Linked DNA regions of Oryzias latipes. The protein of the gene in region 1 interacts with the protein of each later gene in a biochemical or structural test. Links are inferred from orthologs where the notes say so. Each region holds a gene or a part of one and is shown on either strand. Other genes may lie near its edges.

The links.
Region 2: the proteins of apex1 (region 1) and mutyh form a complex in vitro, tested with the Homo sapiens proteins (3 studies listed by BioGRID and IntAct, with this or other methods). The link is inferred for Oryzias latipes from reciprocal best matches to the Homo sapiens genes APEX1 and MUTYH.

The regions. Positions count from the first base shown.
Region 1 is NC_019881.2:10,825,787-10,829,542, reverse strand, and holds the start of apex1 (DNA-(apurinic or apyrimidinic site) lyase), read right to left. Parts: upstream 2,418-3,756; 5' UTR 2,295-2,417; intron 1,321-2,294; exon of another isoform or gene 1,298-1,320; 5' UTR 1,227-1,297; coding exon 1,163-1,226; intron 1,086-1,162; coding exon 922-1,085; intron 160-921; coding exon 1-159. Other genes in the region: osgep (probable tRNA N6-adenosine threonylcarbamoyltransferase), read left to right, coding at 3,426-3,540, 3,615-3,734.
Region 2 is NC_019862.2:6,613,441-6,616,421, forward strand, and holds the end of mutyh (adenine DNA glycosylase), read left to right. Parts: intron 1-122; coding exon 123-220; intron 221-359; coding exon 360-504; intron 505-584; coding exon 585-672; intron 673-746; coding exon 747-929; intron 930-1,060; coding exon 1,061-1,206; intron 1,207-1,290; coding exon 1,291-1,440; intron 1,441-1,977; coding exon 1,978-2,025; intron 2,026-2,139; coding exon 2,140-2,274; 3' UTR 2,275-2,436; downstream 2,437-2,981. UniProt on the Homo sapiens protein: Involved in oxidative DNA damage repair. Initiates repair of A*oxoG to C*G by removing the inappropriately paired adenine base from the DNA backbone. Possesses both adenine and 2-OH-A DNA glycosylase activities.

The DNA.
Region 1 (3,756 bases):
GCTTAGCATGGCCACCCCGCTGTAGCCCTCCTTATCATCTGAGACAGCCCAGTACTTGTGTGGGTACTCTGGCATGGAGGTAATTTCAGCAGGGAGGTCTTTCTCTGCGCACTTCGTCTCCTGGAGGCACAAAACGTCAGGGGCCTCCTCACGCACCCACTGAGAACGACAGGTATGCTTTTTTAGTGTGGATAGCAGCAAACATTAATGCTGGGCGATAAAACGATAACAATATATACCAGTACATAGCAATGGAACTTTATCACATTAGACTTTAATTTTTAAGGGTCCGAAAATAACACTCGCTGGTTGTGAGTTTTTTTGCTCCTCTTTGGCAAGTAAAACGTAATGGGTTAGTCGCCACATGAAATGTTTGCATAGTCATGTTCATCAGCTCTCTTTTTGCTGAATTTCTTTAGTCTTCACACGAGTGAAAAAATGCGACGTGAGACAAGCTCAACCTCCACGGCCACTGTGGAGTGTGTGTTTTCACTTTTGAGTGATAAAACAGCGGAACAAGCGGGGATTTTTAACAGGATCCAATCAGAACTGAACGATTATTTGTAAAATGTATGTTTTGTTTTCAAATAGAACTGATCAAACGGTTTCCATTTTATGTTCTCTTTTGAAACTTGAAAGCTTTTGCTTTAATTTTCATTTTACTTTGTAACAAATGCATTTACTTATCTAAAAAAAAAACCTGTTGCATCATCTTCGTTATCGCATCTGTTATGTTTAAAATAGGAAATAGATATTTAAATCTAAACAATCAGCTGATGATTACACATTTCATGGTTACACATAGTTACTTGGTTTATATCGGGATATTTATCGCTTGATATGAAAAAATCTATATTGTGATATAAAATATTCTATATCACCCAGCCCTAGTGAACAGGTTTTTTTTTGGTGTAAGCTTACATCCAGGCCCCCTTTCTTCACCCACGCCCTCAGCCCGTCCACGTTCCACGACGTAATCTTCATGTTGGCGCTGCGGCCATCTTTGCTGGTCATTTTGTCGGGTGGGTCCTCGTACAGAATGGGGGCCTCGGGTTCCTTAGTCTTCTTTGGTTTCTTTGCAGAAGCTGTCGTAAAGGATTGAAAATGTTTCAAAAATTTTCAAAACGAAACAATGAAACAAAGCGGCAGGTTTGGCACAAACCAGAGCCGGAGTCATTCTCCCCGTCTGCTGCCGCTGCTTCCTCCGTCTTCTTTCCTCTCTTCATCTTTGAACTTGATCTGACAGAAAACACTCCTCGCAGACACACAACACGCACACACAGCAACACACGCGCCGCTGGACACAGGAACGCCTGATTAAACTGATGAATTCGACAAACGTGTAGTCAACAGCAGCCCAGCCTGACAGAAAATCAAACATTAAAATTCACTGACTTTAAAGAACATTGTTGGGAAAAAAAACTCAAAAGGATTTAAAAAATATCACTTAAACCAAACTTACTTCAAAGAAAAAAAACTTTTTACAAACATAAAAATATCATAAATTTCACAAAATAGTGCTTTAGAAGAAGACACTGTGACACAACCTTTTTATTGTCTACTGTTATTCTACCACACAAGTCAGCCTTATTGTTAACACAAAGACAAAATATTACCAAATTTGTTTAACTTGATATAGAATTACTATACTTTGATATTATACTCATTTTATCCCCCCCCCCCCCCTATAAGTTTATTTAAAATGAGGAGTGTGTTTGGCATGTTCAAACAAATTTATTTAAAGATGATCCAGGAGAAAGTTAGGGGTTATTGTCTTGGTTGACGTCAAAATAAAAGTTGTAAGTATCCTCTGAAGCACACAAAGAGCTGAACCTAACTGGATGAAATGCAACAGTTTGAAACTGTCCGTGTGTTTTGGGATCCTGCACATCATCCCTAACGAGGCCTCAATCTTGTTGTGACATGTAAGACTCGGGATGAGGATCTTCACTCTTTTATTGTGTACTACTTGAGGATATGCAAAAACAAAAAAACACGTGTTTTGTGCATATTTACCGGGCCGCGTGCGTATAGGTGCTAAACTCTGTGGTGAATCTCGTGTTCGCGGATTTGTTTTTCACGAGTTGAGCTAACAAGGAACTAGCGTTGTTCTTGTAACAAAGAGCAGTGAAACTGCAGCAGGCGGCCTGCTCTTTGAATGGAAGCAGCCCCGTCTGGTGGAAGAACCAAGCAGCTTTTTATGCTAGCTTAAAATTAACGGGCGAATGCAAATGCGGCTAATTGCCGGGTTATTTTAGAGACGTTTCAGGAAAAGGAGATGCAAATAACCTTACTTGCACGTTCACAACAGGATGCAACTCCACTTCGATGGTGCTCCCCAGTCAGTCACTCCCCCAAACACGCGCTCACGTCGACCCACACACTCAAAGTCGTTCTGCCCCACATGTGCCTGACACATCAAAGGATATATATATAAATACAATACAATCCTTATATATTTAAATAATCATTTTTTACTCACGCTAACCACTAAACATTTAACCCTACCACAAAGTGTAATAAAGCGACCGTAAATAAAGTTTTATGATAAGGCACATTTTCACCCACCGATACCTGGGTCCTGAAAACCTCGCGTGCAAAAATAGCTTAAAAACTGTAGTTTCTTTTAAGAAATGTCGAAATAAACATCGTTTTACGAATTTTAATTTATTCATGCCAAAGAAAGAAAGAGAGAAAGCATAAAGCTAGGTAATATTTAAAAAATATGTACATTTTCGAGTTAGCTTACGAAAGTTGAATATTCGTCTAATATTCTATGGAAAGTTCATTTTGTTTGTTTGTTTCTTTGCATTTGTTATAGATTCAGGAAACTATTTTCTTTTTGTCTATGTAAATGTGTAAATCATAATATAATTCTGGTTTATTTTTTTTACGTTAGTTTAGGGTTTTGTTAGTGCTACCATTATGTGCTCCTGTTTATAATGGTGAAATTCTGCCTCTGGTGCCAAAATGTTTTGATGTTTGATTCAACTTTTAAGTAAGAAAAAAAGTAAATTACTTCCGTTTCTTTCTAAATACAAATATGTTTTTTGTTAGATTGTCTTTTACGAGGGATTCTGCATCTTCAAATTGTTTCTTTGCTCTGAAGTTTCCTTTGTTGTTACCATACATTGACATCAGCTGTTGATTTGGAACAGTCAAAGCTGGCTGATGCCTCATGTTGCAGTTATAGGTGGAGGCTCCACCTCCTTCCATTGGTGTCCAGGTTGTGGCAGAAGCTTCAGTAACCACTAACTTCACCTGGACAAAGAGGATACAGACAATTAATAAATGACCTTCAAAGAAAGCTGCAAGGATACGAGAATAGAAGCTCTAAGAGGTTGAGCTCATGGTTGCCAATTCTATAATCTTAAATACGTGTTTGGATTTGTTTTGCCTTTCCAGATAAGAGTTTTCCGGCTGCCATGACCATAGTTATCGGGTTTGAGGGCAGTGCCAATAAGATTGGTATTGGCATTATAAAGGATGGCGAAGTGCTTTCCAACCCAAGAAGGACTTACATCACCCCCCCTGGTCAAGGTAAGATCTGCTCCCACATCACACTGAGCGCATGTCAAAGTATGAAGCTACTTTTGCGTTCGTGGGCTCTGCAGGGTTCATGCCGAGTGACACTGCACGACACCACCGCAGTGTTATACTGACCGTCCTGGAGGAGGCGCTGGAGGAAGCAGGCCTCAAACCTACGGACATCGACTGTGTGGCTTACACCAAAGGTAAACGCAGGCGGTTCTGCTT
Region 2 (2,981 bases), on another chromosome or scaffold:
TGAAGTGGAACCGCTGGCTTTTGCTTCAATGCTCCATAACGGATCCTCAGAGTTTCAGAATAATCCCGATGTGAGCTACAATTCCCGTTTTTCCCACAACCTGACAGACTTGTGCTGCTTAGGTTGCTGGAGTTGTGGACGGAAACGTGACCCGGGTTCTGTGTCGGCTCAGAGCAATCGGAGCCGACAGCACAAGTCCTGCAGCGAATCAGGCTCTGTGGTAAACATCTACATGGTTTTTGGAAGAATTTCTGTCTAAATCCTGTGAAAACACAAAACTGCTTGATGATTTATTATTTAACATAGTTGAGACGTTGACACATGCTTCAAAAAGACCAGTGGGTTCTTCTCGGTTTTAGGGGTTTAGCCAATGTCTTGGTGGATTCAGAGAGACCTGGAGACTTCAACCAGGCCATGATGGAGCTGGGAGCCCGAGTCTGCACCCCCAAAGGACCTCTGTGCAGCCGCTGTCCCGTCCGGGCCCACTGCCGCTCGCATCAGAAGGTTCATCCGAAGCCCTGAGCGCTGCAGGCGGGAACCAGCTGCTGTGAATTCCAGCTGATGCCGTCGTCGTGTCTCTGCAGGTCCAAGTCCAACAAGAGCAAAACACCAAGAAGCTTCTGGGGAGGACGGACAGAAGCGTCTCAGAGGTGCTGGACGTGGAGGACTGCAGTAAGGCTGCTGTATCTTCTCTTAGCTTCTGTTGGTTGACGATGAAGGTCTGACGTCTTCCCCCTCATCTTCAGTGAGAGGTGGAACGTGTCCCCTGTGTCCCCTGGAGCCGTGGGACGATAGTCTGGGTGTTCAGAACTTCCCCAGAAAGCCAGTAAAGAAGGCGCCCCGAGCAGAGCGGACTCTGACCTGCGTGGTGGTCAGACCCGGGGAGCAGGACGACCACGAGTTCCTGCTCACGCAAAGACCAAACAAAGGTGAGTCTGAGGTCACACCTGCAGCGGGATTCCTGGGGGTGGAGCCCGACTCCAGCACCCTTCTGGACCTTCAGACACTATTTTCTTGGTGGATGGGGATTCCTCAGGATTGAAGGTGGGGCTGTTTTCAGGTCTTCTGGCAGGTCTGTGGGAGTTTCCAAGTCTCTTGCTGCAGGACGGAGACTCCGATGCTGAGCGGAGGAGGGCGCTGTGTCATCAGATCAGCAGAACGCTGAACGCCGACGTGAGCGACGGCCTCCTCCGGCACGTGGGAGAGGTAAGCCCGACGCAAATCACCAACCTGTGGTCCACCAGGAAGCCATCTTTACGCCTCTGTGCGGTGTTTCCTGCTCCTTTGCAGGTGGTTCACGTCTTCTCCCACATCCACCAGACGTACGTGGTCTACAGCGCGCGCTTGAAGAGAAGCGACGCCCGAGTGCAGGCGGAGAACACGCAGTGGCTCACCCGCTCTGCTCTGCAGGGCGCCGCCGTGTCCACGGGGCTGAAGAAGGTCTGAGCCTGTCCTGGTTTTCACCGCAGAGGCGTCAAATGTCTCATTTGATGAAACTGCAGATCTTTGTCTCCATTGGCGGAAAACGGTTAATTATTTAGAGACGATTTTCTTCTCTGCACTCGTCCCGCTCTGATCATTTGGGTTTGCCGTCTTTAGATGGATCTTTACTGTCATTGTCGCTGCTGCAATGAAGTTCAGAAAGTTGTCCCCGGTCTGTGCCACAATCATAGATTCATGGGTCGCAGTAAAAATAATAAAAATACAGGAAAAGTGCACGACGAAAAAAAAAGAAATGAAAACTCATTTGTTACCAGATAAAATTGCATCTATCATTAAAAAAGACAAAAACAGAACACTGTTACTTAGTGATAAAATTGTTAAAACCCACCAAAAAATGAAAGAAAATAGGAATGTGAATAAAAAAAATATATATTTATTTGTTGCAAACTTCAAGCAGTCTAGAAGTCCAGATTTCCTTTGATGTTTCTGAATAAATGTGCTCTTCTCTGAGATGTTTTTTCTGTTCTCCCTCAGATCTTAAAGCTTTATGAATCTCGGGCTGGTTTGGAAGAATCCCCTAAGGTACGAGGCTCGGTCGATGTGTTGACCTCATTGTGACGGATCTGGAGCCGGAGCTGAATGTAGATCTGTTCCGGCGCTGCAGTCTCCAGACGATTCTGTGTGTGTCTGATGCAGGAGGAAAAACCCTCGAAGAACGCCGAGAGAGTGAAGACGTCAAAGAAATCCAGAGCGGCTGCAGCGATGGGCAGAGCCAGACAGCTTCCCCTCAACTCCTTCTTCAAGACGTTGAAGGAGGAGAGTGGCTCATAAGCTGCTTGATGACATCATCATCCTGTTACCGCCTCAGGGATGATGCGGTTCTGCTGTTGGTGTAAAGTTTTCAATCACTGTGATCCTAAAATGTCCCATAATGCTCTTTAGTGTGACATCACTTTTTAAACATTTTATTAAAACCAAACGTTGCGACTTTTATGTTTGCATTCTCAATCACTGACTTATAAGGTCTCAACTACTTTCATTCAAAACTTTATTAACAAAGCCATAAACGACTAAACCTATATTTGAGAACAAAGTTGTGCGATGATCATAAAAAAAGAGTTTTACAAAAATAAAATGGTAAAGTTGGTTGTATTTTCATGAAAATAAAGTTTTACATTTACAAAAAAGGTCAAGTAGATTCAGTGAGATTCTTAATAAGTGTGACATCCTACCAGGGGCCAGGAACATTTTCTATGGGGGGGCAGAAGACTTAGTGGAAGGCCAAGAATTTGTATCTCTAAAAATGTTATAATTGTTATTTTTATTTCATTTAAAATATTGCTGTTGTAATTCTGCAACGCGTAAAAGAAACTTGGGTTGATTTCATAACCCTTGTACTGTCCTAGGCACTTTACCATTGGGAGTTGGGTCATCTAGACCCACTAGACAGTTCTCTGAACCTTTTTTCTTCAATGATTTGTGATCTTCACTGGTGTCCATGGATTACATGAAATCTTTCCACCTTTATCATGGTAGGG